Arabidopsis thaliana: one gene and its partner. The protein of the gene in region 2 interacts with the protein of the main gene of each other region in a pairwise test. Each region holds a gene or a part of one and is shown on either strand. Other genes may lie near its edges.

Region 1 (7,960 bases), on a different chromosome or scaffold from region 2:
AAATTATTATATATATAAATAAAATATTTGTCCGTAGTGTACCACGCGTTGAATTATAATATGTTGTTGTCACCGACTCTAGCTAGGGCTTATAAATACAAAGACGCATAGGGTTTCACAACTTCATCACCTTAACACAATTTGTTCGCTCTCTAAATTCTTAAATCTTTCATCAAATTTGCTTCACAGTGAAAAACCTCCTCCACAAGGAACACACAATGTCTTCGAAGATGATCGTGTTGATGAGCTCCGATGGTCAGTCGTTTGAGGTGGAAGAAGCGGTAGCAATCCAATCGCAGACCATAGCGCATATGGTTGAAGACGATTGCGTTGCTGATGGAATCCCTCTTGCAAACGTGGAAAGCAAGATTCTTGTGAAAGTGATCGAGTACTGCAAGAAACACCACGTCGACGAGGCTAATCCTATCTCTGAAGAGGATCTCAACAACTGGGACGAGAAGTTCATGGATCTCGAACAATCCACCATCTTTGAACTCATCCTTGCTGCGAATTACCTCAACATAAAAAGCTTGCTTGATCTCACATGCCAAACTGTTGCGGACATGATCAAAGGCAAGACTCCAGAGGAGATTCGTTCAACTTTCAACATTGAGAATGATTTTACACCTGAGGAAGAAGAAGCTGTTCGTAAGGAGAATCAATGGGCTTTTGAATGAGCCCATGAATCAAAACCCTAACTAGCTTTCTTTTTCTTTTTTTCGTTTTTTAGTGTTTTCTTTTTAACGTCTTGATCGATTATGATAACTTTGTCTACATCTTTATTATGATTTGTGTTTCTTTTTATGAGAAAAAAACTTGAACCATGAATGACTAATCCGTAGGAAAGTTATCGGCCATGTCTATTAGTAGTTGCAATGTAGATAATAATGTGACAAACGGAAAGAATATTATGTGTGCTCTACATGGATAACAAATTTACATATAATCAGTACCATCGTCCATCACTTAGACTGCATATCACCTCTTGGGAGATGTAGACAAACAAACATTAAACTGCTAGAACACACTGAAAATACCACAATTTCTCACCAATACCCGATCGTCAACCTGACAAAAACAATTATCCATCACCAATACAACATTAAACTTCTCTATGGTTTTATTTGACTTTCTAGTCTATGAAATATACTTATGTATAGTGGAGTGCAACGATATCATTATTCGTAACTTCAATTGATCCTAGAGTTATAATGAACGAAGGACTAAAACAGAGCTGCTAATAATATTTTAGATCGATTTCAGAATCCACCAGTATCTAGAGCAAACTAATTGTTCTTCACTATGAACATCAATGTTTTACCAATCCATTATTACAAAGTTTTGTGATATCCATATAACTAGTCCACCACACACATTCAGAAAGATTCATGAACCTTATCACGAACTTACTTGATTGTCTAGCAGAAGTTGGAAAGGTAAGCTTGAGCTAAGGAGAGACCAAGCTGGACTTGAGCCTCGGTGGTTAAGTGAAGATTGTCGGACTTTAGCGGCAATCCCTTAGCATCTACACAGACCACATTCGACAGTTTCAGTCCCAACTGTGCTTCTCTCACCTTATCTATGTATCCTCCTCCCGATGCTATTGCCACCTGCTTCAATCAAAACCATCAAGATTAACCAATGGAAATCTGACCTACCGATTTCTAAAAGACAAAATCACTTGCAACAACTGATATGTACATTGTAAAAGCCTAAAATTACATAATCTGCAACTTAACTCTTTCACCAATAACACAACGTCACAACCTATGTAGATGTGACATTGGAAGCTAAAATCGCACAAAGGATAGAGAGACCTGAATAATGGGAAGAGAAGGAAGGTTGAGATCATGACGGAGGTTCTTAATCAAACGATCCATATTGTTCCCGTAGCTCTCGGCGTCATGGATGTCCAACACGTCACTCTCTCCTTGATACCACAACACCGCCTTGATCTCTCCGCCGCATTTCCTACTCTCCTCCGTTCTCTTGACCATCCTCTCGTACAAGTGGCTTCCACGCTCCCACTCTTTTATCGCCGTTCCACCGGAAGCGCACGGCACCAACCCGATCACAGCCGAATCTGTTTCCAGGCGATTCTTCACCGCGTTAGCGAACGCCATTCCTGGACCTACTCCACACACTTTACCTGTGTCAATGTCAACGTGTAGTGGCTCGTGTGCTTCTTCCCACCGGAGATCTGCGGACAGGCGGAGGATCGATGAGTTTGGTGCGCATTCCGGTGGAAGGATTTTATCCCACACCCAGCGATTGTTGTGGTGGTCTTTGAAGACGCCGCCGCGTCCTGCCATATTGCTTTGTCCAGAGAGTATGAAGATCTGATTTGGTGGAATTGGAGATTGGATCTCCGGTTTATCTTCACCGGGAGTGATAGATCCTCCTTCCATAATTTGGTATCTCTTTGGTAGAGTGATGATATCAGAATACACTATCGTGTGATCAGACCATAGAAATAAGCTATCGAGATGTCTTGTCTGAATAGAAAGTAAAGTTTGGTGGGGTGAGCATCAGAGTTGATCGGAGAAGATGATGTTGAGGCGTGGACACTAGAATCTTGGTCCGGTTTGGGTCGGTCTGTTTAAAAGTTTGGTTAGGAAGTTAGACCGAGTTAATTTTAAGTGATTCCCGTTGTGTTGGTTTAATTGGCTTCATCGGTTAAGATTCTAATTTTTATATAGCTTTTTGGTTGTGATATAACATAACAAAACAGTGAAACACATTCTAAACTCTAAAGTAAGAGTTAGTATTATGCGAGGGTAAAGTAAGCATTAAGCAACACATCTAAAACATACATAACACATAACTTTCTATATTGCCAAAACGACTTAGGCTATACGAATTAAGAAATCAAACTAAAACACAAATTTTCTCCAACACTTGCACCAATTCTTTCATGGATGGTCGCTTCTGAGGCAAGGAAGAGACACATTCAATCCCTAACCTAAAGCACGCCATTGCAGCATCCTCATGGCGAGCGACATCACTCCTAATTGCACCGTCGATTAACCTCAAGAACCGGCCATTCTCTTCCGCTGCAGAGTCGGATAAGTTTGAGAACTGATCTATATCATGATCTACCGAGAACACTTTGCTTGTGAGAAGTTCTAAAAGTATGACGCCAAAGGAGTAAACGTCCCATTTAGGGTTTGGTTTCAGGCTTGTGGACCATTCCGGTGGCTGGTACGGTGAGCTCGAAGTTGGTCCAGTGGTGTGAGATTCACGCGCTGGTGTCATGAGGCGGTCTAGCCCTAAATCGGTGATGATGGGCTCATTCTCAGCGTTCAAGAGAATGTTATTGGGCTTGATGTTACCGTGCACTTGTTTCTTCTCATTGATGTAAGATAGTCCTCTAGCCATTCCTCTTGCTATCTTGAGCCGTGCTTCAAAAGTAAGAGGGTTTTGTAATGACGACGAAGAAGATGAGCTTGAGCTTGCCTTAGCTGTTTGTGAAGGACAAAAAAACAGTGATGCGTATTTTAGAGTGCTAATGTGTACCAAATGACTTGCGTATTTTAGATATGATACTGTGTTTTTTTTTTCGTGCGCTTACAGAAACAGAGGAACTTACTGGCGGTGAAGAAACAGAGGAGGCTGCCATTGGGAACATAATCGGAAATGAGAAGTTTCTCGTCGTCTCCCCAGCAGAACCCACGAATTCTGACGAGATTTGGGTGACGAAGCTTAGCGATGGCACGAACCTCCCTCTCGAATTCCTTGGGTTTCGCAGCCGCACAGCTCTCCGTCTCGATCCGCCTCACCGCGAATGCCGTGCCGTTCTCCAGCACCGCCTTATACACGATCCCGGTTCCGGTGGTTCCCAATATGTAAGCAGATGCCTTTAGCAGAGTGTCTAGATCTAGCCGAGTCTCGCCGTCGACTGTAACCAATTGAGTTTGGGAGCTCTGCTTCAGTTGCCCACCATCTGTTCGAGTGAATGCCTGAACGGTTTGTTGATTCTCTACGTCGCTCTCTGATGTCGATGTCTCGTCGTACCTTCCTCCGGTCAAGATAATGCATGAACCGCATGTCGTTTTGGCCTCTGGTGATTCTGGGACTGTGACCTCAGTGGTGCTTGGTTTCGATTTCTTGGCTTCGTTTTTCTCCAGACAGAACTTGAAGAAGCTAAATTTGCTAGATTCTGGGTACCTTCTGCGTTTCCTGACTTGGTATACGTAGAGCACGAGTAGACCAATGAAAGCTAGACCAACTATATCTGCAACTGTGATTGCGGCAATGGTGCTTGGCTTTAGCTTGCTTTTTCCTGTCTGATTTGGTTTTTCTGTCAAAGGGTTTATTGGAGCTGTACTTCTTGGTTTAACTGCTATTGCTGGTGAAGTAGTTTCAGAGATATTTGGAGGGTTTGAAAGAGTGGAAGGAATTGAACAAAGGATCTTCAATGGCTTCCCACAAAGCTCTTGGTTACCGGAAAAAGACTCAGCCTTTTGGTTAAGTAAAGAAAGGGAACTTGGGATTGGGCCTGTGAGGTTGTTAAAGGAGAGATCGACTGTGGCATTTGCTGGAAACTTCTCTGCAAAATTTGGAGAAATCTCGCCGAGGACTTTGTTGTGTGATAAGTTCAAGTAATGCAGGCTTTTTCCTCCCAAATCCTTGGGAAGAGAGCCGTTGAGAAGATTTGAAGAAAGATCAAGAATCTGTGCTGCTTCGAAACCACTTGGAATATCACCTGAAAAGGTGTTTTTTGACAAGGAAACGACCGTTAGATTCTTCAGAAGTGAGATGTTGAGCGGAATTTCGCCAGTAAATGCGTTAGCTGAGAGATTCAAGAGCTGGAGATTAGTCACACTGTTGACACTCTTGGGCAAATCACCAGAGAGATTGTTGCTTCCAAGGGAGATACTCTGAAGCTCAGTGGCGTTGAACACCGAGTCCGGGAGTGACCCGTTGAAGAAATTGCTAGACAGATCCAAGATCCTTAGATATGGAATCGAGAACAAGTCCGGAGTGATGGAACCCAAAAGGTGTTTGTTGGGAAGTACCAAGCTTGTGACTCTGAACATGTCTGGTGTGTTAGGCTTCCCAAGCTCTGTACATGTGACACCTGTCCACAAGCATGGTGTTGCATCATCATAGTTCCAATTGCGTAGAACAGAGAGAGGGTCAGTGAGGATGGAGTATTTGAAAGTAAGCAGAAGAACACCATCAGTGTTAAGAGCTTGGAGTTGTGTGGGGACAAAAAGAAAGTGGAAGAGGACTAATGAGAACAGGAGGTTGCTTCTGTTGGAAGTCATGGTCTTTCAGTTCTTGGTTTCTCCCTCTCTAACTATTACATTTGGCTTTGCATTTTCATGGCAGAAAGAGAGAGAGATAGAGGTTGAACCACTCAAGAGATAAGTTGTTCTGGTCACCAAATCTATGAGATAGTGGAGCAATCTCTGAGATGGTGAAGGAGAGAGAGAGAGAGAGAATCTTAAAGAGCCGGAGTTGATAAAATAAGCTTTTGACTAGACTTGACATGGGACAAGGTGTAGAATCAATGATTCTTGATCATATTTATTCATTAGTGTAAAACTGTAAATGAGCAGCAGCAGCCATATTTTCGCATTTAAAATCTACTTCATTCACTAAAGTAAAAGCAATTCATGGGGGACAGAATAATTATTACCGCTTGCTTTTGGGTTATTTTTGGTTTACATGAAGAAAAGCTAATAAAATAAAGTTAAAAGTCTAAACTATTGCATTTTTTTTCTGGAACATTTCGGTCCATAGAAAGTTTAAAAGGATAATCACCGACTATTATTACGACTAAGTACAGTATGTAATTGAGTAATTATATCTCAATGTAGTACTTTCTCATCTTAGAACTTATAAGAGAAAACCCGTTATAGGTTTGCCAAAACAGAGGGTCTCGTATGAAATGAACCATACATTAATCAAAGACAAAACAAGGGACACCACAAAACTGACATGTCAGTTATCCTCATCTTTTTTTTTATTTTTTTAATAATCAAAATTTTGGAAAAATGACCTTGCAGAGTTTGATTTTTGTGTAAATTGTTCACACACTACACAAGTTGGCAAACTGAGTTAGGCCTAAACTGAATCTTTCGAAAATCGAAAAGTTAAAAATATGGTCATGAAATTATTCCTTAGTCTAAAGACTCTAAACCAAGAAAACTATTTAGCCATATTAAATGAAGTTATAGCTGAAAATAAAATTAAAAATATCTAAGAATTGAAAGAAGCCAAAGCAGTAGCACAATCAAGGAGAAAAAAAAAGGTTTGGAGAACAAACATGAAAGCGACGAGAGAATGGGCTATGACCGCATCGCTTTCAGTGTAGCCTGTGGACGAATATATAACAGAAACAAGGCTCGAAGTGGTCCATCTTATTTGGTTTTGAGTGAGTCACATAAGAATGAGAATAATTGATGCGAAATAAACGAGTGTTGTCCGAGAGAGCAACAGTCACACAAAACAATTTTGTAAATTATAGTTTGTTGATTAAGATAATAATTAGGCATAAACATAAATTATCTTAATACATATTTGCTTGCTTCATTCGCAACAAGTAGGTAGTTAGGACAATTTCTTGTCGTGTATAAGTAGCATAATAATAATATTCATCAAAGGCTTTAGTTGAGTGTTAGTTATTTAAGATACGTAATTTGTGTAAACGCGGAGAAAGTTTAAATGGTGATCATTAAGAATCTCACATGTGCATTATAAAAGGGGCCTATGGATATGATGGGGATTAAACCTAGTCAATTTCTAAAACACATAAGATAAGATTTTTTGGACGTAAGTAAAAAATACAATCTATAAAGTATATTCATCTGGCTGGTCCTAGACGTAACGATCACGGGTTGATGTCGTTTATACAATCTATAAAGTATATTCATTCTCTTTCTTGTTTTTTTTTAGGTCTAATGTTTTTTTTTTTCGTTTTCACTTCATCCTTACCCCAGTGTAAACGTCTCATCTATAAACCAAAAGCTGTAAAGTTATATAGTTATATACATCCATTCAATGCCTTGGTTTTTTTGGTCGGAGGCTGATAGCTAATAATGTGCCTATGGCCGATCTGATACCCCATAAAAGATAATGTCATCTTTTATTGTAGACAATGGATCTTAAATATTTGACTATAGCTATAAAATATGATCTTAAGCGGATTTAATCTGTCGACATATTTCATGAATATGCCATGATGACAACGTTAGTGAATCCCAAGAACTCTGCACATATTATATACGTCAAGAATGATGGTCAGATTGTACTTAAAGAATGATCTGAGAAAAAATATTTGTTTTGACACAGATCCAACATATTACTCTATATCTTAGTTATGGACTCCTCATAGCTGGTAGATGTATAGTGTTTTATTCTTTAAATTGTTTTTGAATTCTCTTTTTTTTTTTTTTTTCTAATCTGAAATTTTAGAAATATTAAACAATCATCCAACCACTTATTGTAAAGAAGAGGGAATCGTATATAAAGCCCAAAAGGGTAACGAATTATCGACTTCAAATATAAATATCCACGCCATGCTCTCTTGTCTGGTCCAATAGAGGTTCTGACATAGCACCAAGAGACATCTCTTTATCTACCAACTAAGCATTTGACTAAGTTGCACACATTTGTAATTTCAATTTGCACCACCAATTGTGTATCAACATTTATACATGAAAAAATTATAATCAACGGTCGTACATCTAAATTAGTCTTCCTTAACCTACCACTCACTTTGATAAACATGAAATCGTCAACGATGCATACTATTGTAAAAGATTCAAGGACCAAACACTCGCATCAAGTTTCTTATACCACAGCTTACAAATATTAACGAATAAAATATAATATGCAAGTCGTACTTTGTAGTTGGATTTCGCTTTCAGTCACTGTTTTTAGTCCGAAGAATTGTGTTTCATATAGTAAGACTCAAACCCGACATAAGGGCAAATATTTTAACACATATATC
Region 2 (6,766 bases):
ACTTAATATGAGTTTCTTGAAAAAAACATTTAAGAAAGCAATTAGAAATATACGGCCTATTATCATTATGATTATATGTACTAACACTTGCATTGAAATCTAAAACTAAGCTTCAAAATTGTATTTGAATAATAACAATACATAGATACTGAGGATAAAATGTTTTTAGTCACAGTTTGGTGGTTTCTTACACTTATATACGGCAGAAGCAGGTTGCTTATACACTGGAATGCTGTTTGCATCCAACAATCTTACTTCTCCTGGTCCAAAATACAACTCCGAGTGCCTTCGAAGGTCGAGTCCTTGGATACCAGCTTGTAACACCGATAAGTTGTCTGAATCAGGCGAAACAATCACGATTGTGTCTTCTGAGTATTGAGTCTCGAGAATAGACATGAGTTGCGTCACACGCACAAATACATCTGATACACTCTCGTTGGGGGTACCGTCGCTTATAGGAGGAGGTTTTGTCTTCATCGATATTGAGTCTAATGCATACACCTGCACAGAAGTTGAAACTTTCATACTTCAACCCGAGTTTTTGTTTGTATGTTTTAATGTGAAAAATGCTAAAATCTTACTTCTGATATAGATTCAAGCTTCTTGCCTTCGTAAGCTCCTAAACCACGAGCATCAAGGAAGCTATACTCCGGAACTATATAGCTGCGAAAACCAAGTGAACATAAAACATTCAGCGTACCATCACAAAGATTAGATTCCACAGCTAAAACCTCACTAAAGAGTAAGAAGACTAATGGACGATTTTACCTGCGACTAATTCCATTGATGGCGGCGATGATTTCAGCAGCCTGATAAGCTCTCTGTGTTATGGAAGGCCAGAGCCAACAGTTTCGGTCACAAGCTCCCATTGCTTTTAACTGTAACGCAGCTCTCAGAGTCTGCTTCTTACCTTTCTCTGATAATCCGCTATCTACCGATGTTTTGGCAACCGGGTTTGTGTTGATTATCCCTAAGCTTTCGTAATCTGATTCCCCAGCTCTCACAAGGTAATAACTTGATCCAAGAAAAAACAACAACCAAAAACACATTGTGTATTATTAGCTCCATTTTCTAAGATAACCAGGCTAAATAACTCCGGAAACGAATCAAGAACAAGAATCAAAATGTTAAAAGTCAGAGATTCACTCTTAACAGTTCAATGTGAAGAATTTGGAATCTCACTAATCTACTAAAGCTTTACAAGATCCTTTAAACTTAGTTCCAATCAAAAGGACGAAGATACGTATACATTGATGCACATCTGGTTGTATGCACAGAAACTCAAAACTAGGGTTTTGAAAAAGTAAATTACCGATTAGAGAGCCGGAGAGGCGGCATTTGAAAGAGACCGCGTGCGTTAGCTGGTGCGGCGATGGAGACGGAGAGTGATGGTGTGGCAATACATACGGAGAGAGTTTTGAAAAGGTCTCGGCGGGTAATATGCGGCGAGGAAAGTAAATTCAGAGGAATTTGGTAGGTTTCCGGCGACGGAGGAGGATGTAAGTGTGAGGCGGTGGTGACCGCCGGTGATGATGATAACATAATTCAATCGTCATCTCAAACGGTATCTCTGGTCCTCCGTGTTTTAAGGTTACAAAACCACAATTGTGAATCGCACATTCCGGTTTAGATTATGGGTTCGTTTTTAAAATCGAATCAGCTAAACCGGTAACTTTCTCGGAAATATTCTTAACCGGTCAGGACCAAAAAAAAAACCTAAAACAAGAGAGAAACTCTGTTTATTACTCTGCTCTTAAGAGGACAAATTTGTTTCTTTCCTTACAGTTTCCAAAAAAGAAAATGTTATAAAAGTAATCTAATAAACTTCGATTAAAACTAAAATTGTAACAACGTACATAGATTCAACTTGCGAAAGTTACAATCATTTCCAAAAAAAAAAACTGAAAACCCATTTCTTCATACACAAGAAACTTCATAACTTAAGGGTTCCACTTGTTCATTTTTTTTCTACATAGGCTTACACAAAATAATAGTAATAAGAACTTCACCTCACTTCTGATTCTATCTTAACCTATCGATGAAGCACCGTAGACGATGAAATAGCTGAAACTATCAAGCCTGGCCAAGTTCGATTCCAGCATTCGAATAGCGCTTTTCTTTATCTTCATCGTCATCGTTCCAGTTAGTTGTTTTATAGTAAGTTATGTATATTATAAGCTGGATTATTCCTGATAGCGATCCAAGACCATTTGGAATCTGTTTTCATGCATGGAAGATAATTAGTCCTTTTTGAGATGTAGGGATTTGAGTTCCAAACAATAAAGATATATATGAGGGTTTACCAAAATATAAGGGTCAAATTTAAGACATGCATAAATGACCCAAACGACACCGTTCATGAAGTTGGCTAATGATAGGAAGAACGGCATGTATTTCACGCTCTTTGTCTTTATCACAAGTTTCTGTTCCACATTATAACTAAACTCATTAAATGGAAATTCACGAGATAAAGAGAACAAAAGAAAAAAGTTGATAGTGTAGTATCCAATTTTTGCATTTCCGTGATTAGTTTAGAAAGAAGAGGCATCATACCATGACGGTGAGAGGAGCAGCATACATGATGACGTTGAAAACAATGCACAAGATCCCAATAAGCATTGATCTCTGCTTTGTTGTATGCAAAAAATACATTGTGCAGAAGATCACCACCGCCATGAATATTACCTCGATAACCATAGCTATTGTGATCTTTCTCTGTACACATATATATATATCATAACTTCACATATCAAAATCTATATCGATCTACATTTGAAGTAACAAACTAAAACAAACATCAACCACTAATTCACTAATTTTCAATTGGTTTAAAGGCTATCAAACCTATGTCTGAAAAGTTTATATAAATTGAATAATTTAGAATGCATATACATATTTTTATCATTCGTGTTGAAATTAGAGGTTTTAAAGGCTTACGCGGACAGGGGAGGTAGCGAAGACAAAGAAGATGGTGACGTAAACGAGTTCCATGAAAAGACCAGTTCCATTAATGGTGATGACGAGGAGACTGTCGGGCTGGACGAAAGGAAGTCCGTAAAATGTCCACATCATGCAGTTTAAAACCGTAGCTACGTATGGATCTGGCTTAAACTCGGAGACCGATTTCATCTTCCATATCTTCACCATCGTTGGTCTGCACAATTTTCACATATGTCATTGCATGCAACAAAACAAAAAAAGATTTAATCATCATGTGTGCTTACATTGGAGCGCAGAACAAGCCGAAAGAAATCACGTTTCCTAAACATATAACAGACAAACAAAGACATGAGCAAATGTTTTTGTTGTTGATTGAATTAAACTTTATGTTTGAGTAAATTGTGGAGGACTTACCAACGATTCCGACGATCGTCCGGGCGGTGTGGGGGTCCGTCATTTTTCTTTGTTTCTAAAGAAGAATTCTTTATCTTCTACAGATTTTATCAAAGAACTAATTTATATTTTATAAAAATAAAAGAAGAAGAGAAACAAAATATGTTGATGATTTCGATTCTTCTTTTCGATGATTCTTGTTTATAATTTTTTTCTTTAGTACTGCGTTTCTTTTTTGTTTGTTTCTGATTTGTGATGTGAGTTTTGTTTGTTTGATGAAATAGCTTTTTTTTTTTTGGTGTGGTTTCTAGGTTCTGTTTTTGGTTTTTTGATATTTGGATTATTTTTGGTTTCTGCTTTATGAACAGAGAAAAAAGAAAAAGTGGATTTTAATAGTGAGTCTGTGAATCAGCAGAATCTGGGTAGAGTAACAAACGCATGACACGTGGTTTCAAATTTGAGCCATGAAGCCGTTGACTCCGCTCGTACCCCATGCATGAGAAACACCCGGCTCTTCACTCACATTAATACCTCTGTCTCTCTCTCTCTCTCTCTTTCTCTTTCTCAAACATAATTACATTTACTATTACTACATCTTCATTATGTATAAAGAGTTTGTTGTCTCATATTCATGTCATAGTAAATGTTGTGTAGAGCATCTTGTATAGTATATACAATAATACAAAGCAAGTGAATATGTGCTGTAACCAAAAACTTTGTTAATAGCAACTTGTATTGATGAATAAAGAGAAGAGATTTTAGTTTTACTCTCTTTTTAGGTTTACTATGTAAACACTTTGCTATATATGAATCACTTAATATTCCTTTCTCATCAAGCTACGAAACTGCAAACGAATTGAATCAAGATGAAGAGAAACAGAACACACAAGCCTCAGGTTTCAGTGTGAGGCGCATCAATCGAAAATACTAAATTAATCTCTCATTGTTTCTTAATGTTTTCCCTTTAAATGTAGGTCGGTTAAGACTTGAGATCTAAAACCTAATGGGACATGAAACTGGGCTGCTTAGCTTATAAACTCTTTTGTATTGCCAATATATAGAAAATATCCAAAAAAACAAATGTCATAAACCCCCAAAAAATGTCAAAAACCAAAAATATATATGTGTTTTTCTTCGTTCAAGTTTAATGAAATAGAAAACTGACACCATGAAGAGAGGACGCCAAGAGAAGAAGACCTCACGATCTCCAAAACGACGACAACAACGTCAGAACGAAATCTCCGAGAGAGAAAATTCAAACGGTATACATATCCCTTTCGATGTAATAACCGATATACTCTCGAGACTCCCTGTTAAGTCACTTGTGAGGTTCCAATGTGTATCGAAGCTGTGGTCATCTCGTATCACCCTCTTGATCATGACTCGGTCATTATTCTCGCCCTCTACTTATCCTACTAATGATATATCATTCATATACCCAGACAAAGACAGTAATTATACATTAAACCATGGGCGAAGTTGGGATTTTAAGTATCAATAATTTTCGAGGACTCTTCTGTTGTTGGTCAAGCTCGATCTATAAACATACCAATAGGAAAACGATTTTATTACCGGAGGTAAAACACGATAGATGGAGCAACTCGTGTGATGGATTGTTCGGATATGATCCAGTTGAGAAACAAGTTTTCACATTAGTGGGAGGTCCAATGAAGCAGCAATGGAGGAGCCTTGACATCCAAGGCATTTGGAATCACTCTCCAGAAGCTAGGAGTAGTGGTTTATGTATCAAAGAGTTTATCTATTACATAGCACATGTAGAAAGCTGGGATGATCCCGAATTCTATGAGCTAGTGAGGTTCGACGTTAGACACGAAAGCTTTGATCGTATTCAGATGCCCATAACTCTGCAGATGAATCAGCAGCTCAGTGAAGTGAGTTTCGATGAATTGACTTTGGTAAACTACCAAGGAAAATTAGGATGCATACGTTACACCAAAGCTAGTGCAGAGATGTGGATTATGGAAGATCATATTGAGCAACAAGAATGGTCTAAGATGATGATATTTGAGAAATTAGGTATTGCATCGCTGGTGTCAGTCCTAATGGTGAGATTGTGATAATGCCAAAGACAGTGACATCTGCTCAATCTTTGTACCCCTCGTACTATGATCCGAAATGTTAGTTTGTTGTACCCGCCGGATCACATTTGTTCAACTCGTTCCCTTAGTGAATAGTAGTTTTTATAATAAATATCAATTTTGTTTTATCAAGTGTATTCCTAAAAACATTGTTAGGAAAGTAACTATCTTATAACGGATTCTAGCTCAAGATATTTATTTTTTCTAAGACTCGTTTTCACCAGCCTAAGAAATTGTTTAACACTTTTTATGATTCTCAATCGTGTTGATCGATAATTGAGTTTCTAAGGTTTTAATATTTACAGCCATGATTCGTAAAAGTGTCAAGTGTGCATATAATAACATAGAAAAAATAACAATTTCTTAATTTATATTACAAGTGTCAAGTGTGCATATAATAAATAGGACCAATCATAATCCTTTACAGCTAAAACTTGAATCAAGTTATATTATCATCACGAGTCTTTTGACCCAAGAAAAAACTTCTCTGAGTTTCGGCCCATGGAACTTTCGCAGTCGGACCCAACCCGAGATCCTGATACCCGGTACGATCAACGTTGCTGTTGTTTCCCCAGCTTCCGCCGATCAAGAAGCTCCACCGCCGTTGGTTACTCCTCCTGGGGACGAATTCGAACCGTCGATGACAGTAATCACAGCGGCGACCACGGCGACGAGCCACGTTGGTGGATCCGAGCATCCTTGAAGATCCGAGAGTGGTCAGAAATCGTTGCTGGTCCACGGTGGAAGACTTTCATTCGTCGATTCAATCGCGATCCACGACGCGGCCGCGATTGGGACGCAAGCGAGAAGTTTCAATACGATCCTTTGAGTTACTCTTTGAACTTCGATGACGACGACGAGGAGGATGAATACGTCGGACTAGGTGGATTACGAAGCTTCTCGACCCGATTCGCTTCTGTCCCGGTTTACTCAGGTAAAGCTCCGGCGATTTCGCCGACGTCGTTGTCTGCGTTGACGCCGCGTAATGAGATCATTGAAAGTTAGTGGGCGCGTGTGAGAAACGCGTTTGCGTTTCTGGCGGCGGGGAAAAGGCTGTCAAAATGGTTGACTGGTTTGGTTTACATCGTTTTTGGAGTCTGTCGCGTTTTCTTATTTAATCATTCTGTTTATATAATCAACTTTGAATTAATTTTATTATTTTCCCAGTTTAATTAATTTATTTATCAACCAAATTTTATGTTTCTTGAAAGAGAAGCAATATTTTGTTTCTTTTTTGAGGGGATATTGAACTTGTTGTGGCTAATATAATATAATTTTATGTAAATTAGCTGTTTAGCATATGTGGAAGTAATGATTTAGTTAATCATGGTTGC

Evidence for each region.
Region 1: the proteins of AtVEX1 (region 2) and AT4G34220 interact in a protein complementation assay, tested with the Arabidopsis thaliana proteins (one large-scale study listed by BioGRID).

The regions. Positions count from the first base shown.
Region 1 is NC_003075.7:16,378,785-16,386,744, forward strand, and holds AT4G34220 (Leucine-rich repeat protein kinase family protein), read right to left. Parts: upstream 5,685-7,960; 5' UTR 5,271-5,684; coding exon 3,590-5,270; intron 3,462-3,589; coding exon 2,869-3,461; 3' UTR 2,689-2,868; downstream 1-2,688. Other genes in the region: SK11 (SKP1-like 11), read left to right, coding at 219-677; AT4G34215 (carbohydrate esterase, putative (DUF303)), read right to left, coding at 1,419-1,610, 1,818-2,408.
Region 2 is NC_003076.8:25,228,131-25,234,896, forward strand, and holds AtVEX1 (Nodulin MtN3 family protein), read right to left. Parts: upstream 3,715-6,766; 5' UTR 3,398-3,714; coding exon 3,355-3,397; intron 3,262-3,354; coding exon 3,225-3,261; intron 3,155-3,224; coding exon 2,938-3,154; intron 2,716-2,937; coding exon 2,554-2,715; intron 2,538-2,553; exon of another isoform or gene 2,438-2,537; intron 2,424-2,437; coding exon 2,304-2,423; coding exon of another isoform or gene 2,241-2,303; exon of another isoform or gene 2,218-2,240; coding exon 2,074-2,217; 3' UTR 1,808-2,073; downstream 1-1,807. Other genes in the region: AT5G62840 (Phosphoglycerate mutase family protein), read right to left, coding at 166-501, 582-663, 769-1,014, 1,313-1,542; AT5G62860 (F-box associated ubiquitination effector family protein), read left to right, coding at 4,502-4,657, 4,911-5,411; AT5G62865 (uncharacterized protein), read left to right, coding at 5,934-6,437. UniProt on the Arabidopsis thaliana protein: Mediates both low-affinity uptake and efflux of sugar across the plasma membrane. May play roles in nurturing the male gametophyte.